Linked DNA regions of Rhinolophus ferrumequinum. The protein of the gene in region 2 purifies or fractionates together with the protein of the main gene of each other region. This does not show direct contact. Links are inferred from orthologs where the notes say so. Each region holds a gene or a part of one and is shown on either strand. Other genes may lie near its edges.

The links.
Region 1: the proteins of DERL1 (region 2) and FAF2 purify together in Homo sapiens (affinity purification with western blotting; 4 studies listed by BioGRID and IntAct, with this or other methods). This does not show direct contact. The link is inferred for Rhinolophus ferrumequinum from reciprocal best matches to the Homo sapiens genes DERL1 and FAF2.
Region 3: the proteins of DERL1 (region 2) and TMEM129 purify together in Homo sapiens (affinity purification with western blotting; 3 studies listed by BioGRID). This does not show direct contact. The link is inferred for Rhinolophus ferrumequinum from reciprocal best matches to the Homo sapiens genes DERL1 and TMEM129.
Region 4: the proteins of DERL1 (region 2) and SERPINA1 purify together in Homo sapiens (affinity purification with western blotting; 4 studies listed by BioGRID). This does not show direct contact. The link is inferred for Rhinolophus ferrumequinum from reciprocal best matches to the Homo sapiens genes DERL1 and SERPINA1.

Annotation. Positions count from the first base shown.
Region 1 is NC_046307.1:6,067,485-6,075,218, reverse strand, and holds the start of FAF2 (FAS-associated factor 2), read left to right. Parts: upstream 1-4,716; 5' UTR 4,717-4,779; coding exon 4,780-4,842; intron 4,843-7,734. UniProt on the Homo sapiens protein: Plays an important role in endoplasmic reticulum-associated degradation (ERAD) that mediates ubiquitin-dependent degradation of misfolded endoplasmic reticulum proteins.
Region 2 is NC_046297.1:60,505,728-60,512,673, forward strand, and holds the start of DERL1 (derlin-1), read right to left. Parts: upstream 3,005-6,946; 5' UTR 2,722-3,004; coding exon 2,569-2,721; intron 1-2,568. UniProt on the Homo sapiens protein: Functional component of endoplasmic reticulum-associated degradation (ERAD) for misfolded lumenal proteins. Forms homotetramers which encircle a large channel traversing the endoplasmic reticulum (ER) membrane.
Region 3 is NC_046288.1:87,241,124-87,248,539, reverse strand, and holds the start of TMEM129 (E3 ubiquitin-protein ligase TM129), read right to left. Parts: upstream 3,001-7,416; 5' UTR 2,889-3,000; coding exon 2,351-2,888; intron 815-2,350; coding exon 340-814; intron 1-339. Other genes in the region: TACC3 (transforming acidic coiled-coil-containing protein 3), read left to right, coding at 4,817-4,978, 5,121-5,260, 6,585-7,416.
Region 4 is NC_046289.1:8,778,402-8,786,414, reverse strand, and holds the start of SERPINA1 (alpha-1-antitrypsin), read right to left. Parts: upstream 3,019-8,013; 5' UTR 2,911-3,018; intron 1-2,910.

The DNA.
Region 1 (7,734 bases), on a different chromosome or scaffold from region 2:
CAAGAGACGTCCCAGTGAACCCGTGGGGCTCCAGAGAGACTCCCCCCGACTCTTGTGGTGGAACAGCAACCCTGGCCCCTCATAATCAGGAGCATTACCACACTGCCGGTGTGGTAACCCCGCCATCTCCAGGCATAAGGAGCCCAAAGTGTCCAGAAGGTAATCACTCAGTTCAGTGGCAATCACACTACGTCCCCTGGGACACGTGCTCCCTCCTCCCCTGAAGCAGATAGAGTCTGAGTGTGGGGACAATTTAAATGCATCTGGGTTATTTAAACCATCTGTAAATAGGTCTCCTGCTTTTCCTCCCTTTCCCATCCAGCTAACTGAGGTGTTGTTTGAACTTGTTCACAGTGTACAAATCATGTAATTTTTTATGAACCTGGGGTTTTGGAAGAGAAATAAAATATCTCTGCTTTAAAGGACAACTGTTATCAGCATTCTGTCTCCCATCGTCCAAAACTGAGGTGGTCCTTTTATCTTTTGATTTGAGATGCTCTAAAGACCATCCCTCTCTATCCCACAGGCAGTAGCTATATTTCCCGATTTAGTTCCCATGGCTTTACTCTCATAAGTCCACCCACACTCGTGAGGTCTTTGCTCTAAGGATCTAGCCAGTCCCAATATTTATAGACCTTGTACTCTGTACCCAGTGCAGTCCCTAGCCCTGGGGACTCAGTGGTGGCCCAAGCCAACTTGGCCTCTGTTCCCTTCATGGAGGGCAGAGCTGGGAGACAAACGGTAAACTAGATAATATCATCTAGTGATTTAAGTGCTTTGAAGAAAACAAACGTTTAGGTCTCCTCTGAGGATGCAGCCTACACATGCTGAGATCTGGATGTCAAATGGGGTCAGCCCTGTGAGAACTCCAGGAAAGTGCTCCAGGCAGAGGGTACTGCAAATGCAAAGTCCCCGAGGGATTATGAGAACAACAAGGCTTGCAAGTAGCGAGTTCCCTGGAATGAGGTCAGAGGATCGCACAGGGCCTTGTAGGCCCTGGAAAGGAGCTTGGGTTCTATTCTGAGGACAACGGGAAGCCAATGGAAACTTCCGAGCTGGGGAGTGACAGGATCTGATTTACTTGTAAAAAATGATTTAATCCTTGCCATGACCCGTGAGGTAGGGACTATTAGTCTGTTTACAGCTGAGAGATGAGCAAACTGAGGCTTAGAGAGGTTTCCTTGCCAAAGTACACAATCAATTAATGGTGGCATCAGAGTTTGTCCTCAGGTCTCCCTGAAGAACATGAGATGGGCTTTGTGACTTATTTAAGGCAGAACTTTGCCTCCAAACCTTACTTTGTGTCATCAGCCTAAATACCCCTAGCAGAAATCTAAGGATCTATCATATAGTACTAATGAGTGTGGGGATTCCCTTTCTCACTTCTGCTCCTACTTTTTTGGATGAATTTAGTTGAGTCACCTTAATTCCTGTTGGCTTCACTTAACCTATAACGAGTAACCTAATGGGGCAGGAGGCCAAACGAAAACTGTTGCTGACATCTCAATGGCCTGCAATGAAGAGGCCACGTCCCTAACTGACAGGAAACACTGTAAGTTCCAACTGCTCAGAAATTGAGAGCTTATTCTAGGATTTCCAGGACTCCGCAGGACAGAATTTGTCCTTTATTAGGAACAAAATGGTAAGGTGTCAGCAAAGCCTTATTAATAGGATTTGAGAAACATATATTCATTAGATTCTCGGAGATACCTCTCAGTCACAAATTCCAGTGTGTTATAGGCATAAAATTGGGACTCAGAAACCTCCCCCATACACACACATCCTTCCAGAGAATGATGAGATTAATTTTCAATTAAACTGTGTGTTCTTACAGGGCAGCGGCTGTGTCCTGTTTATCTTTTGTAGTATCTGGTCCAGAGCCATTCAATAAATATTTGTTGAATGAATTCCTAAAATCTGTGGATGAATATAATTAATATATCTATTAAAAAGATCTTTGGAATGCTCTAGAACTGCATTTACAATACAGTAGCCACTATCCATATGTGGAAATTGAGCACTTGAAATGTGGCTAGTCCAAATAGAGATGTGGGGTAAGTGTAAAATACACACCAGATTTTGAAGGCTTAGTATAATACACACACACACACACAAAAGGTATTTTGGATACATTGGGTTAAATCAAATATATTACTAAAATTAATCTCACCTGTTATATGTGGCTCCTAGACTATTTTTAATTATGCATGTGGATATTTTATATTTTGATTGGATAGCACTGCTCTAAAAGACAAAATAAAGGCCAAGGGCGAAAAATGCTCGCAAAGGAGAGATCAAGCCTATAATTGATGACACTTTCCATGCTCTTCATCTTGAATTTATCAAAAAAATCTTAGTTTTCTTCCAAGGCATGTGTGGACTCCCATGGCAAAGAAGGATTCTGCTCAGGTCAGAGGGGCAGACTGGAGCTCATGGGGTGAAACGTGGCTTGCAATTATGGCTGACTGACAGTACTTTTCCGAAAAACTGAGTTATCACCATTTTAAAGCAGGGAGATTTCACATGCATACCCAAATTCGTCGGTGCTCTTTAAAAATGAGAAGTTCTGGCAATACTGGTCTCACACAGAAGCCATCAGCTGCCACTAAAACCAGAAACCACTTTTGCACAGGGAAGGGATTCCCCAGTTTGCCATTTTGTATGCCCTACACTGAGGCAATTTCTTGTGGAAGAGTCAAAAAAACAAAACAACAACAAAAAGGAAAATTGTTTGTTGTAACTTTGTCTTTATTCAAGGAAGAAAACAGAAATGTAGAACAAGAACAAGTATGTGTCTTTGAGAAAGTGAAAAACATCCAATGGTGTTTAATGTAAGTACAAAGTATGTCTGTTAAAAGAGTACACCTTAAATTAGAATTACGCAATAAATCCAGAAGGGCATCTGACTTTGCCATCCCGCCCCCAGTTTGTCTGGGTTGAGCATTATTGGAGATGTTGACCAGTACGTCTCCTCAGATGTTTTGAGTTGATGTAATAAATTCTTTAAAGTCACAGCTATTTACATCCAATTTTACCTTAAAGGTGTAAGAAAAATTCCAGGACATGGAGGTTTGTGCAGACCTGGTAAGACCTGACACAGGCCTGAAAGGAAGTAACCAAAACCTAATGTACTTTTCACAAGACTTAGCTTTCAAAGCTCTTTGTCCTATCTCACCTGGTCAATCCTGTGAAGTGGGCAGGGGTGGGATTCTGCAGATAGTGAGGACACTGGGGCCGTGCTAGTGATACGGGCCAACGAATAACCCCCCTAGGCCCCCCCACTGAAACACTTTTTTTCTTTCCTATAGAAATTTTAAGTTTCCTTTTCCCCAGGTTTTTAGCTCCTACCCCTGCTTTAGATAATTACCCTAAAACTTGTGATTCATACTTGTTGAGTGTAATCCATTCTCTGTTGCTCGGGTCCGCTCCTATTTCTTTGGAGTGTACTATGGTTTCTAATAAACTATTCTTTCACCATTTTATTTCTGTGTCTCGTTCGTGCAATTCTTTGTTCGAGTCGCCAAGTACCCTGGACACCGCGCGGAGAAAAGCCAACTCTCCCCTACCCCTAGGAGTCACAGGAGGAGTCTGTGGAAAAGCATGCGTCAGATCCCGACCCCTCTGTCTCCCCAAGGTCTCCGGACAGTGGCCAGAGGAGGCGGATGGCAGGAGAAAAGAGGTGGAAACGCAAAAGGGAGACCTAAAGAGAGGGGGCAGGTTGGAAGGGACAAGGAGCGCGCAGAGGAAAGCAGACATTGAGGTGTGGGGTAGGGTTAAGGCCGTGCAAAGGGTGAGGGTCGGACTGCATTCTAGAAGGAATGCGCTGAGGCCGCACGTCAGGGGCTACTGGGGATTCTCGTTCCACCAATGGCAACACGGAGCGCAGAGAGGAGGTGGTGTGCCCAAGATGTACATCACTTTGCAAGGTGGGCGCTAGCACTTGAACCCAAATCTGATCCCAGTCCCGGGATTTTATTTAGGTCGGTCACAGGGAAGACAGGCCAGTGGGCGAGAGACGCGAGGCCTGGGGCAGCAGGAGCAGAGTCGCACGGGGGTAGACGGAAAGCTTCGCCCAAGGCTGGTAGGCCAATTAAACATCAAAGACCCAGGTGGCCAAGTCCAAATAATCCTGGCAATCAACTTCCATGCAGCGATTTTCCCGCGGTCCCAGCCTTCAACGGCTTCGGACTTGAAGGCGGCGTCGGAAATGCGCAACCAGTATTCGGGGGCTTTCGGAACCTCCCGAGAGATGGTGAGGAACTGTTGGAAACGTCAGGGCAGGAGTCAAACATCAAACGATATTTCGGAAGGGCCACAATTTCCTTAGAAACATTCAAGAATACCGGAGATCCCCGGAAAACGTTTAAGAGGCAGCCGAAATCTGCCGATTCGGGAATTTCCGAAGCTTCTGTGGCATTCGGGAATTTCCGGAGCTTCTCGAGAAGCATTCGGGACTTCTCGGCTCTTTACGATCTCTTCAGGAGTCTTAGGTCCTTAGCAGATCCCTTCTTTGTCCAGGTTGTGAGGGCGACTGGTCTCGACAGGCCCTCGGCAATTTCCGGAAGTGTTCGAGCTAGGTCTGAGAGTGGCGCCCTCTGGCGGTAAGAACTCTCACCACCCCCCACACCCCACCACCCCCTTCTACCCCCTCCTTGCTGGGCCAGGACGCGCAGATGCAGTTGCGCGCCAGCGGCTGTTCCGACCGGATGTGGTTGCTGCTGAGATCAGTTCCGGCGAGTGACGGTGCGGACGGGTCAGAAGCGTAGAGGCGGCGGCAAAATGGCGGCGCCTGAGGAGCGGGATCTAACCCAGGAGCAGACAGAGAAGCTGCTGCAGTTTCAGGTAGCAGCGAATGCTCGGTGCAGCCAGTGCCGCCGCGGGCTGGGGAGTGGGCCCCCAGAGGAGCCCAGAACCCTCCTGAGATTGGGTCCGAGCTGCTTCTGAGACCAGCAGGCGGCCCCCTCCCCCCCCAGACGCCAACTGCCCTGCTGCCCCTGGCCCCCGAGCCTCTGTCGGTTCTCGGCCTTCAGCCTTGGCTGCTGCCATACCCGCCTTTCCCCTCTCCCGTCAGCGAGTCAGCTTCCCTGATGTCCCTTAGCGGCACCCGTCCTCCGCCATCCTTCCCCGGTCGGACACTCTGCCCAACGACTCTGAATCTACCTGAGATGCTTAATCCCCACCGCGGAGTTGGCCTCGTTTCGGGTCCCTGGAAAACCTGCTGCCAGCATCCCATGCCATTTCCACAAACATTTACTGAGGGCTTCTTAGGTGCCAGGTTTTGTGTTGGGCGCTCTGGTGGGGGAAGGGCGGGCCTGGCTCCCGCCCTAAAGGTGTGGGAGGACACCATGTAAGGAGACAAGTGCTACGTTATAAATGTCATCAGTGGCTTCTGACAGGGTTTACTACCCTGGGCTTAGTCCTGAAGTCACGTGCTTGACTGTGCTTGAGGAGGATGGTAACTTGCAGAAATCGGCCTCAGTGGGTGTGGAGTTGAGAACTTCTGGCACTAAGCACTTTTCTCTGAGTTTGATGGAGAATCTGGGTGGAGGAGACCACCAGGGTGGGTTAACCTTGGCTCTTTGTTACCCTGATACCAGTTTCCTTATTGTTTCTAAAATATACACCTTAAAAATGTTTGCTCCCTAAGGGTGTTCTGGAGATTTAATGAGTTTATGGATGTCTGAAGGACTTTGTAAACTGTAAAATGCTCCCAAACAGTATTGCTGCTTATTAATCATTATTTAACTTAGGAAAGAATTAAAGTTTGTGGTACGTTTTTTCCTAATGTAAAAATGTGCTAAATATTTATTCGTTTCAGCAGTTACTTACCAACAACCTTAGTGCTCAGGCACTGCTAGTTAGTAAGTGGTGGTGTCAGATTTAAAGCTGGGTCCATCTTTCTAGAACCTTTCCTGAGCTCTTGACTTGTGTGCTATACAACCTGGATAAATATCAGTGTTCAACTGAGTGTGGACTGCAAATGCTGTGATACTGGGTTTTTTGTTTTCTTTTTTTAACAACTTCTCACTTTTCTGTAATTTCCTTGATTTTACCGTAATTGATTTTGAAGTGTTTTTTTCTCTTCAACTGAGTAGTGATATCTGAAACTAATAGAATATTGTGTGTTAATTATACATCAGAAAAAATGAGCAGGGGGTTGGACGTGTACCTATAAGTGGAAAAATACTATTGGAAGTAGTTGACATTTGATTGGAGTTTTGAGTAGAGAAATGGATGACACGGTAAATTAGAATCAGAATGAATAAACAGCTTCCACTTCCTGGTAGACCACTAATTGCAGAGTTTTGTTTAACTTTGGCAGATCGTTTTACCCACTACAGCGTTTCAGGGATAAGACCCCTGTTGTTAAATGTAACGTGGTGCTCTGAGTTGTAAGTCATGATGTACTTGGTAGTATGCTGGTGGGAGAACATGATTACGTGCTAGCATTTCTGAGATAAAGTGCATAGGAACCTCTGTTTTAGTCGTCATCGGACATCTCTCAGTAAGAGAGGCGAGTAGCAGGTTAAAGTTGAATTGAGATTGCGTTATGAAATTGGATTTAATAAGGCAAATGTATTTTACATTTATGTGTTCTTTAAGCAGTTGCTGGATCAGGTTCATCATCCGAATTGCCATTAAACGTTCTTTGAAATTTACTAGGTGTCAAGCACTATACCAGGTATTTGATGTACATTAACTCTTTCAAACCTCTTAAAATAACACCATAAGGTGTTAACCGCGTCGATTTATTGATGAAGAAACAGGCTCTGAGAGGTCAGGTAGCTTGCACAAGGAGTAAGTGGCCGAGAGTTAGAGATCCATACCCATAACCATCTGTTTGGTCTACAAGCTAATGGAGAAGCCACATACATACATGAACGAGTACCGTGCAGTGTGTTAGTGCTCCTAGTGCGGTATGGTGTAAACTAAGCGCTGTGGGGATTTAGGGAACGATAGGAGCACTGGTGGGGGTAAGGGGGCAAAGAAGGATGGCTAATAGTTAATCAGTATCTCCTGTGCCTTTGTGCTTGTCATCCTCGCAGTAGCCTTGCAAAAAGTGCCGTAAGGAAACAGATCTATTGAAATATTTGCTTAAGGTCACTAAGCTATTAAGTAGTGGAGATGGAATTAGAGTTAGAAATCTAGTGGTTCTGGCTCTGGACTTCAAGGCTGGGCTCTTTGCACCCACTGTACTTGGCCACTTTGAAGGAGGAACAGAATTTCAACAGGTGAAGGACATGAGGAGAGGATTCATAGCTGAGGAAACAGCTCAAGCAAGGTGTGGAGATGGAGTGTGGAATGTGTTTGTTGCGATGGGTTTCTAGAAGTGGAAGTGGAAAATAAGACTGGAAAGGTAAATTAGAGCCAGGGCCTCCAAAGCCTTTGAAAGGTTTAAATTTTAACCTGTAGGCATGGGAGCCATCACAGGTTTTTTTCAACTCGGGAGTGACATAACACTAGGTTTCAGGTTTGCTTCACTAAGAGTGTGGGGCATGCGCTTGGAATCCCCACAGGGGTTGGGACAGAACAGAGTGAAACTGCTAGGAGCTGGTTCTCAACATGTTGCTTCATTTGATATATTGAAATTAGTAAAAGTAAAATATTTTAGAAATCTCAGGTTTCGTCTCTTTCACATTTTTGTGACATGTGGTTTGATTGCAACTCCCTAGGATATGTTTATCATGCTTCTCAGTCCGTTTGATGTCTTCCAAGATTTTTGTAGTTATCCTT
Region 2 (6,946 bases):
CAATCTGAGTACGGGGCTCCATCACCCACTGGGAAAACAGTGACACCTTCTGAGTCCTGCTTCCTGCACCCATTCCATTCACCCTTCACATCCATTCAGCTGCAAGCGTGCCCACTCCAACTCCCAAAGCGACCCACTTCGATCTTCACAGCCATCTTGGCCCAAAACACCATCTCTCTTACTTCCTATCTGGATTCCTCCCTCTCCCACAGCCCACGTCCATCCCACTTGGCAGTGCTTGTTTGAAGGCTCCAAAGCATTCCTGGTGACTATGAAATCCAGTCCAAACTACAAGGCCCTATGCGAGCGAGCCCCAGGCCGAGTTCTGCATCCTCGCTTTACTAAACCCACCCCTGGCTGCCTCTGCGTCTTCATCTCCAATCCCCACCCCCACAGCTGACTCTGTCCTCGCTATCCAGTCTACTTTCTGTTTCCAGCACCTGCTTCTAAGCTGACTATTTCTTCTTCCCAAAAGACTGTCCCTAGAGCCAGGTCTTCCCAAAGATGGCTCCTCATCATCCAGTTTCAGTTCAGGTATCTTCTTTGAGACTTTTCTGGAACACGCTACCAAATGATACACCCCTTAAGTCACTCTCTATCACATGCCTCTCTCATTTTCCTCCTTTGGTAGCTGGGACCCTTTCCAGCTTATTCACTATCGTACCTCCAATTATTTCCATGCAGTCAACCAACACGTAAGTACCTGCTATGCCAGGCACTATTCTACGTAACAAAGATAGTGGTCAGCAAGGAAAGACCTGGCTCTCACAGAGCCGTATTTTCTAAAGGGAAATGGACTAATACCAAGCCAGGAGTGAGAGCAAAAACTACTAAGGGTAAGGGAGACTCAGTGAAAGATGGGTACTATTTTATGTAGGGCAATCAAATAAGACCTTGCCAATAAGATGGTTTGGGAAAAGAGGAAGGCGGTAAGGAGGTAAGCCGTGGTTAGCTCCCTCAAACAGAGAAATGCTATGTGCAAACAGCCCTGGCGAGAGATCAAGAGACCAAGTCAGCTGCCGGAGCGACAGCAAGGATTCCACGGTGGAGCCTAACGTGGAAGGCGGAGAGTAGCAGGAGATGAGGGCAGAGAGGAAGCAGAGGGCCTTGCAGGCCACTGAAAGGACTTGGATTTTACTCAATGAGTTGAGAAGACATTGGAAGGTTCTTGGCAGAGGACTTACAGGAGACTTGATTTATATTTTAGAAGGATCACTCCAGCTGTCTAGAGAAAAGATTGAAAGGAACAGGCTGGAATGATAATAGCTAGCAATGGTGAATGACAAGTGACTGTTATTCGGGATCTATGTCTAAAGCACACAGAATTTACTGCCAGACGGTGGGGTGTGAGAAAGAGAAGTCAAGGATGATTCCATGGCTGTTAGCTTGAGCTCCTGTAATAATGCAGTTTCTATTTACTTCCAGTGCAGTGGGGAAAAGGGTATCCAGTCTGAGCCATGTTAAGTTTGAGGTGCCTATCAGTCACCCAAGCGGTAATTTCAAATAGATGGCTGGAAATCAGCAGCTAAATCTGGACTAAAAATACATGTATTTGTATTTGAGAGTCTTCAGTTTATAGAAAGTTTTCAAAGCCATGAAGCTAGACGAGATCACCGTACAGCTCTGGGGCATGTAAAGAAGAGGTCCTATAACTGATCCTTGGGGCTCATCATAACATCTAAAGGTCAGGAAGATGAAGCAGCAGCAAAGGAGACTAGGAAACAGCCAGTGAAGAGGCCAACGAGCGAGTATTATCTATAGGCCACGTTATGTGTTGAAATTAATGTCAGCTCTTAGTATCTGACCTGCCACTGATTAAAGATTTAAATCACAGAATCCAGTGAGTAAAGACAACCTCCAGGAAACTAATATTCTCTTGCCAGGAATGTAAATGTGGATGGTTTCCTTCATGCTTAAAAAAATAACAAGGCCTTCCATTTCTGGAGCAATTAACTCTGTACTCATTCCTTGTACATACAACCGCTACGTGCCAGACACTAAGTCAGGGTCTGGGAGAAATGCAGATAAACAAACTCACTCTTTGCACCTCTGACCTCAAATCACTCCAACAGGAAAAACAAAAACAAAAAAAAAAAAAAAAAAAACTCCACCAACACAAAAGGAACTCAGCTGGATGGTTGGGTAAGTTGACAGCCTTATGCCACCCACGTGGCAGAGGTCAGAGGGCACCTACTCCAAGTAAACCCAGGCTGCTAACCACTAGTAGAACAGACCGTACAACAGATTGACAATTGTCACAGACTTCCTTTCCCACTGCCTCCTCTGCGTGCAGAGGCCAGGGAGCACAGTCTTAATAGCAGGACTAAATCAGTCCCTTCCCACCCGGCCAAACCCACGTCCCCACCCCTCCAGCTATCCAGGCCCTTGTTCCAAACCCTTTGGCCGCCACCGCGTCCCCAGACCACCGGACCCCGCCCAAAAGCGCTTGAGCGGTCGCACTACAAATCCCAAGAGGCACCGCGTGTCCTCAACATGCTGGTCTACGCTACGCCAGCGGACACCCGCTTGGGACCTGTAGTCTCCACTCCCCGCGTCGCCGGTCGGTACCTGGAAGCGGTAGAGGAAGGCTTCGGGCCAGAGGAAGAAGTAGGCCGGGCTGATGAGGCCGAGTTTGCCCACCAACGGCACCGCGACGGTGGCGGCGAACCAGTAGCGCGTAATGCTCGGGATACTCCTGAACCAGTCCCCGATGTCCGACATCTTCGCTTCTTAGGTGGCCAGGATGCGCACCGCCGCCCGACTCCCCGTCCCGGGCCCCTCACGACGCGGCCGGCTCTGCGAGTGGCAGGTGTCGCGGTGCAGAAGGCGGAGACCGGCGGACGTGGCGCCACCGAATTCGGACGAGCGAGGGAGCGTTCGGAGGCGAAACTTCCCCTTCCGGCGTTAGCGAACGACGTTGACCAGAAGTCCCGCCGCTTAAAGGGCAAGCATCGTTTTTTACCAATGGGTCGATGGTCGGCGGTCTGGGGGCGGGGCGATGAGAGGCCGGGCCCGGCGGGGTGGCGACACGACTGGTGGGAAACAGTGGTTGCCAGGAGCAACGGTAATACTCCAGCCAATGGCGAGGCTGAACGTCCTCCGCCTGGTTTACGCATTCAGGTGGGTCCACTCTGAGCGTGTTTAAAGGGGAAGGAGGAAAATAAAGAACATAGTTCCTTATTTGTCCATTCATTCGACAAGTGTTTGTTCAGGGCTTACTAAGTGCCAGCTAGGGTTCTAGACACCGGAGGTACTGCGACTAGAGTTGTGGTACCATCTCTCCTGGAGCTTATATTCTAATGGGATTAAACACATAATAAACAATTGAATAAGATAATTTCAGAGTGATGAGAAAAATATGAAAAATAAAATAGGATAATGGGGTAGAGTGGGGTGGAAATGTGGGAGTGTGGGGAGAAATTGCTGTTTTAAATGAGAATGGTCAGGGAGAACTCGCAGGAGGTGACATTTGAACTGAGCCCCCCCAGGCAAAGATCTGGGGAGTTTTCTATGCTGAGAAAACAGCCACTCCAACTAATGTGGAATGCTGGAGGAACTGAAAACAAATTATCTTAACTAGTTCATCAGGAAGAACTTAAATTACAGGTAAATGACAATCATCTTGTTTTTGAAAGAATCTGTAAAAAGATATGGAGTAGAACTCTTCCTATTGTTTTCAGATGTAGGTCCTACAGTTTAAGATTGATTAAGCCATCCAGTAACGACCTCTAGGAACACACCCGTAATCCACAGAGTGAGTCAGCTCTATGAAGCCAGAGGAACCTGGGACATCTCACCAAACAAAAGAGGATAGGAGGAAAGGTGGATTAGGTGGATTAGAAGGAAAGGTGGAGTTTTGGTAAAATGTAAATTTGCTTTGGTAGGCTCAAAGCACAGCAGGGCTATATATAAAATGGTTAACATCAAACAATGATACCAAGCTAAATTCTAGGGGGATATGTAAGGGTGTGGGGAAATAAGCACTCTCCTGAATTACTAATGAGGATATACACGTAGGTTGGTACTGCAAGCAATTTGGCAATATTTAAATGAATTGCTGGGCATTTAAGCTTTAGGTAGACTCCCACTTTTTGTCTTAATTAAAATTTATTGAGGTGACAATGGTTAGTAAAATTACATAGGCTTCAAGTGTACAATTCTGTAATACATCACCTATATATCACATTGTGTTTTCACCATCCAGAGTCAGTTCTCCTTCCAATGCCATATATATAACCCCGTTCACCCTCATCTACCATCCCCTTCCCTCCTTACCCTCTGGTAACCACTAAAATTGTCTGTGAGTTTTTGTTTCTTTGTTTATCTTGTTCCTTTGTTGCTTTCAGTTTTATATCCCACATATCAGTGAAATCATATGGTTCTCAACTTTTTCTGTGTGAATTATTTCACTAGCATAATAATCTCAAAATCCATCCATGTTGTTGCAAATGGCTCTATTTCATGTTTTCTTATCCAACTTTTTTTTTAATGTGCAGGAATAGTCATTGCTGCATTTTTTGAAATAAAAGATTGGAAACAGCTGAATATCTGTCACTAAACTGACTATAAACTATGGTTTATCCATACAATAAAATACTATGCAAACTTTATTAGAAAAAAATAACTTTGTGTACCCCAAAACGGAATGCTCTCTAACAACACAGAGCATTAAGAATAGAAGAGTTATAGTACAATGTGTGTACTATGTTTTTACACAGTTGTATTGCACAGAAGGCACACACACAAATACACACACAGTATTTGCTTGAAACAGTGGTTACTTCTGGGAAGGGAAACTCAGGCTGGCAAGACTAGAGTAGGAAGGAGACATTTTATTGCATATCCTTTTAAATTTTGTCCCAACTGTGTGTACAATGTGTTTAAAAATTAATTTTAAAAATCTGTAGAAACGTTTGTTCCGAAAAGAGCCGGTTCAATGTCAAACATTTTAGAAAGATTGACAACTAGAAAAGATGACCTGAACTATGTCTTTCTTGCTGTAATTGAAATATATTTCCTTTTGTTTCTCTCTCTAAAAAAGCAGGCCTTCAAAAAATTGGAGGGAGACCAACAATTAAGGGCACTGAGCTTAGGCAACAATTGCCTAGCACTGAGTTTAGCACTGTACTACTTAGTGATGCTGACAGGCCGATGACTCAAATGTCATTCTGTCACAACAGTCATACAGGAACACCATCCTAGTGGGATGCCTGCCACGTAAGTGGCATCTTTCTTCAAGAAATCCGAAGTACACTGCAAAGATGTAATTAATCCCCATGTTAACTAGTAGACAGTTTCGTTAGCACCATCTTGCAGATGAAGAAGCTATGGCAAGAATAATAATTTATCTGTCAAGCCTGGCAGAACCAGTCAGTTATAAGCCTGGAAAATTTTTAAGTTTTGACACACTGGACTGGGGGACAAGAAGGTGACTGAACAGCATAGAAAGCATTTCCCATTTGTTATTCTGAGGCGCGTGTGTGTGTGTGTGTGTGTGTGTGTGTGTGTGTACTAAATAAAGTCACCATTCTACAGGCTGTAAAGGAATCAGTGTGGGTTTCAGTCCAGCCTCTGTCCTTTGCTGATTGTGTGACCCTGGGGAAGTTACTAACCTCTTAGCTGACTCATCCCGATGGGAAAATAGCATTACCTGCCCCCTACATCAAGGTTGTTTGTTGTTTGTTTGTTTGTTTGTTTGTTTGAATGGAGAGCCTGCTGTTTAACAAGCTCCATGCTTGTGCTTTTCGTGCATCATCTCATTTAACATTCACGCTAACATCCTCATTGGGAAGTACTGTTTTTATGGAAACTGAGAAACAGATTAACTAACTTATTCAAGGTCATGTAACTATAAGTGGTGTTTCAAATCCAGGTCTGTCTGACTTGAGTCCATCTTTGAACCACTCTGCTGTGCCTCTGTGACAAATGTAAAGGCTCTTGAAAAACTCCAAAGCATCTCATAGGGAACTAGTTTTATTCTAGTAACCAACACCAAGGATCAGCACGTGGCAGACACTCAGTTTCATAGATAAGGGAACCAGGCTACTGGACCAGAGTTCACGTAGGAAGTATTTGAAAGAAAATAATCCCTTCCCTATCAAACTTCTCTCAACCATTCTGCAAACCCAAAGTCAACGAAGTAACAGTAATCCAAGCAATAATTATTGCTATTCATCATTTATATTCCTCAACGCATCGTTTATATTCCTATCAGAACAATAGTGAATGATATTCATTCAAAATAAGCCTTGAGGAAGGGCTGCGAGACTCTGAAATGCCTTCCTTCTAAATCAAAGAAAAAACTAAGCTAATGTCAGTGTCAGACTGTTGCACGTACCTACAGGATTCTCATCGGCTGGCGTTGGACCCAAGTCATCCCCCTGGTGTTGGCATCCCACTAGAATTAAGACACAAACAAAACTCTCAAAGGCCTTCAGTTGGTGACACACCTGGAGAAAGGCACACTAAGGAGGAGCCTGAGCCATTGCAAAGACATGAGCCCTATTGCCATCACTACCAGGAAACAGCTTATTACTCGTTTATTATAAAGGGTACAACTCAGGAAAAGCCGAATGGGAGAGATGAACAGGGCAAAGTAGGAGAGATGCGTAAAGTAAGGTTTCTTACCACCTCAAATCCGATTATAAAACATGAGGATGTAGTTGTTTCCTCTGAAACATTATCACGTGTCTAAATTGATGAAAGTGAGTAAGAAGCAGTGGGTTGGAGCCGGCTCCTATTGGCTGATAGGAGCGATTTGTTGAATTTTCAGAAATTTTGTGACTCGTTTATTAAACACAGCCAATATTAAAAATTGAATTATATAAACTTAGACTCAAATAACTTATATTTTAAAGGATAGTAAATATTCAAAACAACCTTAATTATTATGCTATGTTTCACTATTATCTATGCTCTTGACATCATTTATGTCTATTGTATCTAT
Region 3 (7,416 bases), on a different chromosome or scaffold from region 2:
GGCCTGAGAGATGGAGGACCTCAGCTCCAGCCCAGGCCCCACAGGTGAGGCAGCAACACACCTGTGCTGCCCAGCTCCCAGATGTCGCAGTGTGCTCCCCTGAGAAGCTATGGAAGCAGCTCAGAGGACAACGTGCATGAAAGGGGAGCGGAGGATACCTGTGGGGGCAAGAGGGGGGCAGGGGGCCAGGGAGGGGCCCTGAGGGAGGGTCACACTGGAGGAGCCACTCCCACCCATCACCACCTCCCAGAGGGACACAGACACCGGAATGGGGCACAAGCTGGGCACACGCCCGCCCGTGAGCCCCAGCCCGCCCTGCCCCACCACAGGTGTGCCTACCTGATGTCGAAGGCCTGCACGGCAGGGCTGGCACTGGCCACACGGATGGTGAGGAGCTGCACAGGCAGGTTTGAGTCCGGTGACAGCTCATGCTGCTGTGACTCTGTCACAGTCAGGTGCACATCCTGTTGCTGGGCCACGTGCACACGGTATGTGGTCACTTTCATCACCCACGTGTCCGTCACGATTACACGGGCACCCGGCGCCCCAGTGGCAAACTTATCAATCCGCCGGAACTCAGTGTTGACTGAGGAAGCAACAGCCCGCCAGCCTGACTGCGGGAGGGCATAGAGGGCCAGGGTGCGGGCCAGTGGGTGGCGGGCCCACCGGTCCCGGGACCAGTTGTAGGTGAGGCTGCAGGCGATGGTGGGCAGGGTCACCGCCAGCAGGAGGAAGAGCTGCCAGGCCTCAGGGGCCTGGCTAGGGGAGTAGAGCCGCTTCTCCGAGGCTGCAAAGCACATGCCCATGTAATAGCCTGCAAGGGACGGGGCGGCCTCAGCAAAGGTCGCATGCCAGGCCCTCGCCCTGCCCTGGTGGTGCTCACCAAGAGCTGCAGTGCTGCCCCTGCACCACCCAGGGGGCCACTTCCTTGCGTCCCCAGCCCTGGGCCTGGCACTCTGCCCTGGTCAGCTCCCAAGGTGAGGCTGTGTACCCGAGGCCAGGTGAGTCTCACGGCTGGCCAGGTTCAGCCCTTGCCCATGGCACTGACACAATAAGTGAAGGAAAAGCATTTTTAATTTTCACACAATACGTGAGTACGGAAAACTAGAAAAACCTAGAAAGGCAAAATAAATACTAGGATCTGGTGTCACCCTCTGCAGAGCTGCCCACTGGCCCCCATTGGCCTCTTGACCCCACACCCTCTGAGGAGGCTTATCCTAAGCTGGCCCATCATGTGCCAGACAGTAAGCAGAGAAGGATGGGGGCACCTCAAAAGAACACAGGAGCCAGTGCCCGGGCCCCTGCAGGCCAGGTGGGGGCCATCTGCAAGTCAAATAAATGAATGAAGCAGATAGCGAGCGGCTGCACAGGCAGGTCTGAGATTGCAAACCTAATAGTAAACGTTTGCTGTCGGTCAAGTCACTACCTTTTAGGATAATTTGTTAAGTTGCAATAGGTGTTCGATCTAGAAGCCTCAAAGCTTTTCAAAATGAATTTAAAAACAGCCCTGTGTCTGGGCACCACCAGGCTTCACCACCTCTTCCATGTGTGGCCACCTTAATCATGCAGACACCTAAATTCTGGATTCCCACAGACAGCCCCCATGCACTTGCAGCCTCAGCCCAGCCCCCTTCCGGCTGCTCTCCACGTCCGCAGGACTGCTGTGCCCAGCTGCCAGGTGAAAACCACTCCCTGTGTCCACAGGGCTGCAGGTGGGGCCGGCCACCAGCCACCTGCTGTCCCAGACCTGCTTCTGCCATGTCCTCCAGAAATCCTGACTAGTACCCCACTCTTTAGCCAGTCCCCCGACCAACCGGAAGACAGACTGGCCTCCCATGGGCCAGCTAGCACCTGGGTCAGCGCCCAGCACAGTCTCTGGATAACCACTGAGCATACTGGCCAAACACAGGCTTTCCAGTCTCTGCACCTGTGACACCTTCACGTGGTGTCAACCATCTCTGCCTGCCCTTTCCACACCCACCTTCCATGGCCTGGGCAAGGCCACCTCCTCCCTGTGTTGGAATCAGTTAATTTGTGCTCCTCTCCTGGGTAATGCCACCCACGTAACATTTGGCGACCTGCCCCAGCTGGGGGAAACATCCCCTCTAGGGCTCTGCCACCTGCAAACGTCCAGCTGTCGCCGGCTGTAAACACACGGGCAGTCGGCCCACAGCCTCGGCTCTCGGGGCGACCGGTGTTCCCGGCATTCTCTCTGACTATTCCCCAGAGGGAGGTGACCCCGCGACCCAGCCACCTCAGGGGCCCTGGGGCTGGGCTACGCGAGCCCTTGACCCGGCCAGCTGCCTCCGTCCACCAGGGGAACAATGACCAAGAGCATCAGGCGCCTCACCCAGCGGCAGCAGCGAGTGGCACAGCAGCGTGGCAGCCGTGCGGCGCAGGTGGTAGGGCACGAAGGCGGCATCCTCGCTGCCCAGCCAGCCCGACAGCAGGTTCTGCACCGTGAGCCCGGCCGAGTGGAACTCGGTGGGCGTGAACACGAAGCACACGGCGAACACCAGGTAGGCCAGCGTGAAGGTGACCTCGGGACTGTCCATCGCGCCGCCGCCGGCACCACCAAGCCGTCGGGGCAAGGCCGCCGCCCACGGCGCGGGGAACAGGCCCGAGCGTCCGGGTCCCGTAGGCGCCGGGGGATGGGCGCCGGGTACTGTGGGAGATGGAGTTCCCGTCCGCGGGGCGCTCTGGGAAATGGAGTACCGCCCCGGGCAACGCTGGGCGCTCTGGGAGACGCAGACCCCGCGGAGCACTCCGGGAAATGGAGTTCCCCCGCCCCGCACACTGGCGTAATCTGTGAACCCGCCCGCCAGTCCTCCAAGGGTTTGGCTCCTCCTCACGCCCCGCCTTGAGGGCGGAGCTGTACCTGGTCCCATTTTACAGCTGGGTAAACTGAGACCCGGACGAGCGGCTCAGGCCCCCCCTTTCCGCTCAACCCAGTCACGTCCGCAGCAGAGCCCGAGAGCTCTGGTCGACGGCGGGGCCTGCAGCCGTCGCCCGTCCGCCCGCTCGGCGAGCCAAGGTCCGGGAGGCTTTCCGACTCCCGCCTCGCCCAGCGTGCCCCTAGCCCCGGAAGCGCAACCGACGGCGCGGCCTCCCATTGGCCGCTGGCGCCCCGTGCGTTCCGCCCACGGCCGCGAGCTGATTGGCCGCGCGCGCCAACCGTCGGTATTTGAATCGGCGGCGGGCGGACGCACCCGGGACTCCGCGCCTCCCGCTCCGTCTGCTCCGTGCGGCGGCCGGCAGGTAAGGCGGCGAAGTCCCTCCGGTCCCTCTGGCGTCAGGTGGGCGCTGGCCGACCCCCACCCCTGTCGCTAACTTCCCTCTCCGGCCCCTCCCGCGGCTACTCCTCGTGGGCCGCCGCCGGCACGGCCGCTTCTTCCCGGTCCCCGCCGCCCGTCCTTGCCGCCGCCCTTCCAGGCACATCTCCCTGGTCCTCATCCCACCAGCCCGGCCGACGCTCTCCGGCTACTTCGTCTCCTGGTCGCCCTCCAGAAGGGTCGTCCGTAGGGCACGGGCCGCAGGCCTCCTGCGTCCCCCTGGAGACCTCGTCCAGCCTCAAATTCCACCTGTAGCGGCGACTTGCGAGGGCACATCTCCGCCCCGCCCGCAGCCCCCTGCTGGTCCCCCACCCGACTTCTCATTCCCGGCTGTGCCTGGCCTGCCTCCCTTCTCTGGGGGCGGCCCACCTGGGAGCCATTTCCATCACGGCGACACCTGGGCTCGCGCCCTCCCCACCACAGCACTCCACGCAGGCAGCTTCTGCTCGGGAGCTTCTCCCGCGGTCTCTGTCGTTAGTAGAAGCCAAAGCCCTGATAGAGGCCGCCATCGCTGTACTGCCCCCTCCCCCCCACTTATACCGGTTACACCGGCCAGAAACCTCAGTCACCCTTGTCTCCTGTCTTTCTTCTTGCACAGTGCGGTGGGCCTGCTGGCCACGCCAGGGCTGGCCCCTCGGCTTGGGCCCCGCTCCTACTCCCTCCAGGGCCCCTGGTCTTGCCCACCTCCCACTCTGACCTTGATTTCCAGGCTGCCCCCGTGCTGCAGCAGCCCCCAAGGCCCCCACCATCAACAAGTTCCGGTAGTGCTCTTTGAGCAGGTCGGTGCTCAGCTCTATGGCAGCTCCTAGTTTGGGAGTCATGGCCGTGACCGTGTGGAAGACTCTGGCAAGAGTGGGCTGTTCTAGAACCTTGTGGGCCTGACTGGAGGCCCCTGGTGTGATTCTGAGATTCCAGGACCTCATATAGAAGGTCTTCAATGCCCTGCTGAGTAATTCTGCCCGTGGCTGCTTGTTCCCTCCAACTCCTCCCCTGGGCCTTTGCCCTCCTGACACCTTCTTCTGGTCCCCCTTTTCCAGCCCCGTGAGGGTGACGGAGCAAGCTTCAGCACCCTTCTGCTTTTCTGTTCTCTGCTGACTTGGCCACCTGCTCCAGCCCTGATGAGGCCCCGGCCCCCTGAGTGGAGGCCTGTGGGGAGCCCCACCCTTCCTCTCCTGCAGTTTCTCCAGGCCAGCACTTACCTGTCTCCTTACCCACCAAATCTGACTTAGTGCGAGAATCCGTTCTTCCTCCTTACCCTGTGGGCTGAAGGCCCTTCTAGCTCTTGGTCCTGGGTGGTGGCAGCTCCCCAGCCCAGCTAAAGAGCCACAGTCCCCCAAAGCAGGACAGGGACTGGTAGAGGACACGCTGCCTGAGGTGTGACCCTCCTGTGCTGGACGGGTGCATCTCCCTGTGACACTGCAGGGTCAGCTGTCATCACGTCTGCACGACGCAGCCCTCAAGCTGACAGAAACTGTGTTTCCAGAATGAGTCTGCAAATCTTCAATGACGAAAATGTCACTGGTGACAGAAGTACAGAAAACTGCGACTTCCTGTTTTCACCACTGGAACTTACCGGAAGATCCTCTGTTCTCTGTGTGTCACAGAAAGAAAATGTGCCGCCCAAGAGCATAGCCAAAGCTATGAAGGTAAACGTTTTACCCATATGAGACCGACCGTGTGTCACTTTGGGACCTGGTGACTTACTGAGCGGGCGGGGCACACAGCACTGCCAGCGGGGTGGTTGGAAACTTGAACTATTGAACAGGTGCTCTCCGCCCTCCCCAACAGGTGACTTTTCAGACACCTCTGCGAGACCCACAGACACACAGGATTCTAAGTCCTCGCATGAGCAGCAAACTCGAGGCTTGCTTTGGTGTGGGCGACACCATTGGATTAGAAAACTCACAAGTCTGGACCGAGAAAGAGAAGTAAGTGTCGGTGCTCTTGATGTACTGCAACATCTCTGATGACTTGGCAGGAAAACGCTGTTGGCTATCTGTCACGTCTGTGGGGCTTCTCCTGGTCTCACTCTGAGTGTGTGCAGCGCGTGGCCCAGAGCAGTCGGCACCAAGTCATGTGTCAGTGGAAAGGTGGATAGTGAGCTTGTTTCAGATGCCACTCCCCTGTCATGCCCTTGCCACCAAAGTGGCCTTGGTTGTTGCTTCTCTAACTTCCTGAAGTGTCCTGACCATGTCTCCAAGGAAAGACATGCTGTGGTTTTCTTGTTTTGCATTCCACTGGGGTCTCCCCTGCCCCATGTTCTTAATATCAGGCCGTAGAGATAGGTGTTCCTTTTGGAGACAGAGGAGTGTCTGTCGTGGAATCTGGTCAGAATACAAGTGGCCGAAGGGATTGGGTTTTGAACACTTGACTTTAACCAGGAAAAGCTTCTTGGCGGCCTCGCCAGGCATTCACTGTCTGGCTTGGGTATTTGGAAAGAAGGGTCCTGGAGGCAGCTCTTTACCCCCAGAGTGGGCTGATAGGGGGGAGGGGCCTCACTGGCACACTTTTGAGCTGACTTCTATAGATTTAAACTGTTCAAAACTTGCCTTTATACAGATTTCAGACGTACAGAGAAAGGTGTACAAGCAAAGCATCACTAACATATCCTTCTCCTCACTTAAGTAAAACGCCCACAAGGCCCTGCTGCCATCTCCCCATGGAAGCTTCTTGAATCAATCTTTTCCTCTCCCCAGGTTTCTGTGCTACTTTTCAACTTCACTATTGTGGTTTTCCTTTTGAGATTCAACTGAAGGAAATTAGAGTCATTCAAATATTGTTGTTTGTAACAACCCAAGACGGAAAGGAAACCCGGTTGGTGGCTCTGGCGCTGCCTCCCCTTCAGGGTCCCACCTGCTCAAGGGCAGGAGAGCAGAGGCATGGGGGGGCCAGGAGAGGACCCCGAGAAGGTGACCTGGCTGGAGGCAGCCCCTGTCTTCCTCTCTCTGCAGTGAGGAGCTGACTCTCGTGTGCCATGACCGTCCCTGACTGTGTAGCCGGGGACCCCCGACCGACGGGGCAATAGGCCAGCGTGGTCACCTGTGTAGCACCTCCCTGCCCTGTCTCTCAGTCACCTGGGTGGCCCTAGGTGGCCCCCAGCAGCAATTGATGGGAATATGCTTGTGTAACAAGGAGAGGGTTGACTAAATGTTCGTTTTTGCTGTTTTTAGCTAATGTTTTCAGTGTGGACCGAAAGCTACACAGAAAACTAAAACAGGTTCCTTGGTGTTAACTAAGTCTGTTTCTAAAAAGCCAACAGTTCCCCATGGAAGTGGACACCAAAACGACCAACGGGACCCCTCAGAATCCGGCAGTAGCTCATGCCACCCCCCTCCCGGAGGACCTGGGACCCGCCTCTGAGGACAGGCCTTCCAGTGGGCCCACCTCCACAGCCCAGGCCAGCCTGCGCCCCTCAAGCTCTCCCCAGACCCCAGCGAGTCTTGAAAACCAAGTGGCATGTGCAGGACAAATGTCTGCCAGCCCTGTGCAAGGCTTGGAGGACAACGGTAGTTGTGATTTCCTAGAGAAAAGCGTTGCACCCGCCTCCGACATCCTAGAAGATCCTCCCAGGGTGGGAGTCCAAGGCAGAACGGAGGAGCCTCAAAGAGCCACAGGAGAAAGGGCGAGCGGAGCCGCTGCTTCATCAGCCGAGGCCGTGTTGCCCCCTGGTACTCACCCAGAAGTTGCCCACAGAGAAGGCCCCCTCGGAGGCCTGCTTGGAGCCCTGGCCATGCCCCCAAGTTCTCAGAACACAGAGGCCGAGGGCCAGATGGTCGACTCTTCAAGGAGTGAGCCCAGGAGGCTAGAATGTGACTTCTCTAACAATGCCACCAGCAAAAGGCCACCCCCACCCAGGGACCTGGGGAAGAGAGCCGACCCCCAGCCTCTCCCAAGACCAGAGACGAGGCAGGAAAAGGCCCTGGAGGAGGAGGGTGAAGGTCCCGTTCCCCCTCCCCAGGGGTCTTATGACCCGGACTGGGGCAAGCTGGATGACCCCAACTTCAGCGTGTCCGGAGGTGATGGAGAAACCCAGCCCCAAGAACACCCCCAGAGCAGGCCGGTCTGGCCTATGGCCGAGCTGCTG
Region 4 (8,013 bases), on a different chromosome or scaffold from region 2:
TCTCCATGTGATAAATCAAGGTGGGGATAGACCTAACTGAAGTCCTGGGCACTAACGTTGGATGCTTTATGAGAGGGGCAGCCAGGTTAGGTGGCACAAACTGGACTGGGACGTCCCATGGGGAAGGATGTGGTGAGGTGCCCTCTCACTTAGAAGGTGGCAAGCCTGCCGTGAGGCTGAGGTGGAGAGCGGCTACAACTGGGCGAGCGCTTGTTGCCCCCAGTCCATCTTCCTGGGTGTTAGATCACCCGCTCCGGCTTCCTCCCTCTACAGTAAGGGGTGTGAAGCCCAAAGCCGGTCAGGGCCTTGCCAAGGCCACACAGTGAGGCAGTGACAAAGCTGGAACAAGCCTTGGTTTTCTCGCCACTTGAACTACAGACTGAGACAGCCATGTCCTCAGGTCTCAGATTCTACGATTGTCAGCATTGGGCCCTAAGGGACCCTGACCTTCAGCCTCCTGTTGGCTTTATTTTGCCTCCCAATCTGTTTCTTACAACTTTGGGGGCCCAAGATTTCTGCTCTCTCCTCGCCCTTCTGTCAAAGGCAGCACCCCACACCCTCCCCAAAGCCTAGTGCCAGGGAAGCCACCCCAAGATGAGAAAGTAGAAGTGAGGCATCCGGAGGTGTATGGACCAAAGGAATGAAGCAAAGGAATGAAGACATCATGATGATGTTTCCAGAGTCTGTAGCAGGTAGGGTAGAATGAAGGGAACCATCCCTTTTGGCTAATCTCATACCGTGTCCACCCAGAAGCATGAAACGAGTGGCTGACGGTGACCTAGTGGGTTTCAGGGAAACAACTGTGCATGAGGTCACAACCTGCTGAAACCTGGCATTTAATAAGCCCAGGTGTGACCCAGCTCTGCCACTTACAGGCAAGTGCCTTGGGCAAGTGACTTCACTTTTTTGAGCCTCATCTTCCTGTTTGTAAAGTGGAGAAAAGAATCTCTTACAGGGCAGTTGTGAGAAACAAACAAGGTGATGGCACCTACCAGGTATGGCAGCCTCCCTATACCTGCATACAGGCAGGGACCACGCTTGAGAACTGGCAGATTTCTTCCTGGCCAGTTACCACATTGCCCAGGACCAGAGAAGGAGCCCCTGCTCAGCAATGAACCACCTTTGAGTTTGGAAAATTTTAAATTCAATCCTCTAAATATTTATTTATTGCCTATTAGCTGCCAAACGCTATGCACGGCAAACATCACATCACTGTCGTCATCATCACACTTCGCAAATATCTGGTACTTGATATGCACTGTTTCATCTAATCTTCCTTCAAAGCTTACCCTTTTGGGTGGGAATTATTATTAGCCCCGTTTTCTAGATGGAGAAATTGAGGCCTACAGAGGTTAAGTAACTTACTGAAAACCATGGAGCTAGTTGCTTACAGAGCTGGGATTGAACCCTAGGCATTTCAATTTCAGAACCTGGCTTTCAGCCTTTCTCTATGTATCAAGCTGAAGCCAGAAGCCTTGAAACAGAAAAATGCAGAGGTGTCCTGGCTAAATCAAGAGGAGCAGCATTGCTTTGTGGCTAAGCTCAGAGGCTACGAGGCCAGAATGCTCGTGTTCCACGTGCTATCAGCTGTGTGATGTTGGATAAGTTACTTAACCTCTCTGAACCTCAGTTTTCTGGAAATGATAAGGGTGTACTTCCTCATAGAGTTATTGTGCAATTTAAATATGCGCAAAGTGCCAAGAAATGCCTGGCACACAGTCAGCTCTCAGGAAGCATCAGTTGATATTGATTTCGTTGTGGGTCTTTCAGAGCACTATATGGGAGTCCAATTGCCTTGGCTATGGTCATCTTTGTAGCACTAGCTCCAAAATCCAATGACAGAAAAAAGAAATCATATCCTTCAACACTCCAGAGGTCAAGGCCAGTGGGTTGGGGTGAGAAGAAAGAGGGCAAAGGTTATCTATCTATTGCCTAAGAGGAAAGAGAAGTTGAGACCGCCCAGCACCAGTGAGGCCCGAGGCCAGCCCGGGCTTCCCGCGTCCCAAATGGCGCCCAAGGCCCCAGAGAATTAATGTTCGCAGTAAGAAGTGGATCAGGAGTATGAGTGCTGGAGCTAAGTGCCCCGAGTTTGAATCCTGGATGGTCTGTAATTTGGGGCAAGTTATAAACTTCTCTATCCTCATCTATAAAATGGGAGTAACCACGGTAACTACTTCAGAAGGTTGTTGTGGGGCTTAAATGTGGGACTGCTTACAAGAAGCCTAGCAGCCACCTGGTCAGAGGGAGGGCTCAGGAACACCGCTCGGCGCCCCCATGATGGTGCCCCTCCCAGCGTTTCCCATCTTGCTCTGTGCATGAGGACACCCAGGGCCAGTGCACAGGGAGGCCCATTTTGATCCCTCCAGGCTGAAGCCTGGCACAGCTCCGTTCTGAGCATTTCTGCAGAGGATGGAGGCCCGATGAGCAGCTGGGACTCTGGGCTTCTAGTCTGGACTGGCCTCCCCACCAGTTCCCCTCAGTAGCCTGGGCTTCCCACTGTCCCTCTCTGGGCCTTAATTTCCTCATCTGTAGCACAGGAAAAGATACCCAGCCAAGCAGTAGGGGAGGGGAGGCCTACTGGAGATGACTGGCAGGAAGGGTGCAGCTCTGCCAACAGAAACATGCTCCTTCCTGGGTCCCAGGACACCACAGCCTGCTTATCCACAGCCACCTCCACTTCTGCTTATCGAGGGCCAGTTTATTCACCAGTAGGTACTGGGGAGGCCCTGGGCAGGCTCTGGGGAGCAGGAGAAGATCTTCAAGGATGCTATTGCTATGACGACAGGAGCCCCCCCCACCCCACTCCACTTTCCATACATCTCTGGCGGGGGTGACGGTGGGGTGCTGCCTGGGTATGCAGGGACCCCGAAGCCCCCTCCGGAGACTCTCCCCAGCAGAAGGCATACGTACTTACGATTCACTGTCCTGGGCCGGGGCTGGTGACCAAGGCTGAGGAGACAGAGCCCTGTCCTCGTCTGTATTTAAGCAGTGGACCCAGAGGCGCGATGGGGGAGGCTGCTGGTGAACATTAACCAAGGTCAACCCAGTTATCGGAGGAGCAAACAGGGCCTAAGTCCGTCCTCCTGACAATGAGCTGCCCGCCCACGCTGCCTGTATGTGCTCTCCCTGGACAGCGCACAGCCCGTTCTCCACAGACCAAAGGGAATCATTGTCCCGCTCGTAAATCGCGGCATCCTGCATCCAAGGTGGGGGTGGCGTGAGTCAGGCACTTTGGGACAACATTACTGTCCTGGCCCTACATTTGCACTGGGGAGTTCTCCATGGCTGCCTTATTGGTAGCGAGAGCTGCCATTTACTGAGCAGCCTTGAAATACCTGCTGCTGCTGACGCACTGCTGCCATGAGCAGTGGGTATGTGTGTGGGGGGGCTGAGGGGTGGCGGCTGCAATGGGTGATGTGCCCACTTGTCAGACAGGGAAACTGAGGCCCATAACACACAGGCTATTCATTCCAAGTCAGATACAAAACCTCACTCAACTTCCTTGAGTTGAAACGGGGGGTCTGATTGACGGGGACGTAGCCATTTTAGGCTGGGTGGCCGTGGGCACAGGTCAGGGGTCAGAGAGTACATTTAGAAAGAAGAGCTGTGCTGCTTTAGGCACACTGCTTTACCTCTCTGAACCAGAGGGTGTTTTCACCTGCACCACCAGGGTTTGGAAGTCCTACTTCCTACGGTACCATGGTTGTCAGGGATACACAAAATGGCTTATGTAAAGTGCCACAGTAGGCTCTTTATTTTGGTCTACACAACCCTCTGGAAGCCCTGCTCTCCATGCTTCTCTGGGCAAGAGGAGGCTCAACTCCCCGCCAGGCTCAGACCTGTCTATTTCCGCTGGATGTGGCTCCTGGCAGACCAGTGCGATCCACATACTGCTGGAATTTTCCTCAGGAATGTGGCCCCGGTCCAGCTCTATTGCAGGCCCTTAGGGGCCCTGGTGGAGGTCGGGGGTGATGGTGCAGGGTTGAGGCCAGTAGGGCCCCACTTGACTGCGATCCCTTTAAAAACCTAAGGCAGACCACATCGCACTCTGTACCCCCTCCCCACACCCACACCTGCTTGAGACATAGTGTGTACTCCACAGGTATTTGTTGAATGACTGCATGGGTGAGTACATTTTTGTCTCCCTTCTCAGTTGTGGAACTCTGCCAGGTGAGTGACCTGCAGGTTCGTCTAGCACACAGGTTCAGACCAGGGAACCGGCTCCCCACTCATGGGCCATGAGATCTCGGGTAAGCTGTTTAACCTCCCTGTGCCTCAGTTTCCCCATCTGTATGATGGGATCACGACAGTACTAACTTTGTCGAGCTGCTATGAGGATTAAATGCAGCAGCTCAAAATGAGCTCAGAGCCCAGTGTTGGTGTGCACAGGACGCCCACCCCACCCCCCAGTGCCAGGGGGTCTCCCAGCGGAGGGCGTGAGGGAGGGGAGCCGTCCCTCTCTGAGCTCGTTTCTGCTCCTGCATGGGGGTGGTGCACACCCCCTCACAGTGTACTGCACTGAGCGACTGCATGAGAGGTCCATCCCCTCCCGACTGCCCAGTTCCACAATCTGGTTTCAGGGCCCCAACTCTTCCCCCTGAGCTGGCTGAATGGGCGTCTCCCCCACAGCTCTACATCTATTTGTAGCTTAGAGAGCTAGGCTGTGGCTGAGGTGAGGCCACCCTCCACACCTCTTGGGCATTTCTTCTCCTCCTTGTGCCTCAATTTCCCCATCTGTACATTGGCCTTTCTCCAAGCTTGTCTACCCCTCCCACCGCTCGCACTGGATGGACAACAGCAAGCACCCCACTGTCCAGGCTATGGCCAAGTTCGGCCCCCTCAGCCCAGTGGCCTGGGGACTGAGAGGAGGGCTGTCCTCCCTCTACCTCCGATTCCGAGTGCTGTGGTGGCCACGCCTCTTGTCGCCCCAACCTCCTGCTCTTCCTCCTCTTCCTCTGGAGCTTTGGGGTGCTGAGGGCTGCAGCACGCAGGCCACACGTGCCCCAAGCACAGTGCCCAGTCTCTGCCGCCTAGGAGGAAGGAGTGGCCGGTGGGGGCAGTAGGTCTGGGAGGGGCGGGGAACTGGGGCAGGAAGCTGCCTTGCACAAAGCTGCCAATAGCTATCAGGTGACCCTTCCCTGCCCGGGCAGTCCTGTGTGTCACCTGCTATTCCTGCTCTGTTTGGCCTATGTGACCCAGGACAAGTCACCTAGTTCCTCTGCAAGAGGGATGGTGGCACCCAGTTCAGAGGATTAATGGGGATGACAGGCATCCCCCTCCTGCCCAGGGCCTGGCACCAGCATCTTGGCAGATTTCCAGGGCCAGCTGTAGAGAGAAGAGGATGAGCCACCTCTGAATTGCCCAATGGGAGCCCCATGGAGGCTGCGAGGGGTCTGTGTGTGTCCCAGACCCTGGCTGGGTACAGAAGGGATGCAAGACATCACCGGGAGTGCAGAACATTGGAGGAGGAATGAAGAAAGATGAGGGGGCGGGAGGAGTTGGAGAAAGTGAGGGGCTCAGGGTTGTCCCTTTTGAGTCAAGGGCTCTATGCTCAGCCCCTCCTTACCCTCATCCTCACACTCCCTCACTCCCCGTTCCTCTGCAGAGAGGTCTCCTGGACACGTCCTGGGAAGAAGGGGGTGAGAGGATCTGGGAACCGAGAAGGCACAAAATTCCTGGGGTGGGGGAACCCAGTGGCCATTCTTGAAGCCACTGTGTCCCATGAACCACAAAGCATGGTAGGAAATGTCTTGTCCCCTCGGTTACTTCTGGAATCGTCAATTGCAACGTCTGGAATAATTCCCTAGGAGTGAATGCATCAGAGGAAGATCCTGTAGGCTGGTTGTAAATAATGGGAACCTGGGGACACCCTTCCCCTCCATAGGTCCTGCCTAGAGAGGGGAGTAGGAGGGAGAGAAACCTGATAGCTGAGGCGTGAGCTCTGCAACAGGAAGAGAGGGGAGAAATGTGCGAGGGGCCCTGGACTAAGCACATCAGGGACCAGAGACCTGGACTGGTCAGGAGAGCGATGGTGAACTTTAGGGGTGCTGTACCCATTGGCAGACTTCCCTGGGGAGTGCGGGAGCCAATCTGTCCCATGCACACACACAGATATGCCACATGTACCCCCACTCTTGGATCCCCCATGCTCATTATGGGATTGCCCCTCCAGGCACTGGCTCTCTTCTTCAGGGGGCAGTATGGGGCAGGTGTGGACTTGGTTGCTAAGCACCTGAGTTCAATCCTTAACTCCACCACTCTCTTTTTGTGAGGTCTTAGCCTCGTTAGCTCTCTGGGCCTCAGTTTTCTCATCTGTGAGAAGAATGGTTACTTCTACCAGGACTGCAAAGAGTCAATGAGATGACGAGAGTTAGGGCGGCCTCAGGCACAGATGGGCCCGAAGTCAATGCCAACCACGGTATGCTCTTTGGGAATGTGTCCTGGGCCTGGGAAGCCTTTCAAACGGGTCTCAGGGGACTGAGCAGGAGGAAGATTTGGGGGGCAGCACTCTTTGTCCCGGGACCAAGAGCTTGCACAGGCCCAGGTGCAATTGCATCTTTCTGAGCATGTGTGAGGTCCAGAGGGCCGAACTGGGCATGGGGTGGATGGAGCCGGGCCAACTTGGATTCAGAGGAGGACTTCCTTTCATCTCTCTGAGCCTCAGCTTTCACATCTGTAAAATGGGGATAATATGAGTCTTTCTCTTAGAGTTCTTATGAGGGGATGCTTGTGAAGTGTTTAACACCAGGCCTGCTCTTTTCGCATAACCGACACTGTCTGTCTTCTCATAGCTCGTTAGTCAAAGGTTCTAGCTTTTAACTTCCAGGTGATGAATTGAAGTTGCACCACTGGTTCATCTTCTCGTGACTTGTTGCAAATCTTGCAACTTGCATCCCCCTAGTGGGCCCTGTTTCCTTCCTCTTTCTTCTGGAGCCACTTCCTGTGTGTGGTTTGATTCTTGCTTTTTCTGAACTATTTGGCTAATTCACAGCGTGTTGTCTTCATTCCTCATCCTTACTCAGCGAATAAGAAGACAAATCTATGCACTGGAAGCGACATTATAGTTAATAGAAGGAATAGAACGCATCTCTAGCTTCATCCTCTACTTGTTAAAATTAAAAAAAAAAGCACTAATGTTTTTATTATAAAGCTAACCTTTTCTACACTTTAATTTTACCCCTTTGAATTTATGGGCCATTGTGGCCATTATGGACTTTCAATTTTTAGGAGACTGACCTTGTCCTATTTAACTAGTTCTGATATTTCCTTTTAGAAGCTCAAGTTGTCATATTTTGATGAATAGGAGATCCTTTATCTCTTTCACCTTTCAGCAATCTTTGCTGACATTTCAGAAAGCACACGCTTGTTTTCTAGCAATGACATGTGTCCCAGGCCCATCTGCATTTTCTCCTGTCCCAAGACATGGCATCAACGACCCTCTGGGGAGCTGTGGGAGACCCCCCAAGGACCTTGGGACTTGTTTTTCAGAAATAGAAGCCCTACGTGGGTGGCTCAGATAATAGAGAGCAATAGGGCTCTTAAAACTTGCCCAACTCGGACCTTGGGTTGCAATGGTTCGATCCACCTTGTTGTTTTTCCTGTTGATTTTAAGCATTTCTGTTTGCTTGGTTTTAACGAGTCTCTCACTGCTTTCGTTTTGCAATACAAATCCCCAAACTGACTCCACTGAGTGGCCTATCTGCATCATAGCTAATATTTCTTGAGCACATACTATCTGTTTGCCAGGCGCTGTTTGAATGGCATTCAGTGGGTGCCATTAATACCCCCTTAGTACAGATGAGGAGGAAACTGAGGCACAGAGAGTTAGCGAGATGCTCACAACGCAGGCCCATCCGACCTGCTGCCTGTTTTGTAAGGTCGGCAAGTCGAGAATGGTTTCTACGTTTTTTAAATGGTTGAGACAAAAAAAAAATCAAAAGAAGCATAATGTTTTGTAACACAAGGAAATTATATGAAATTCAGTTTTCAGTGTCCACATGTAAGGTTTTCTGG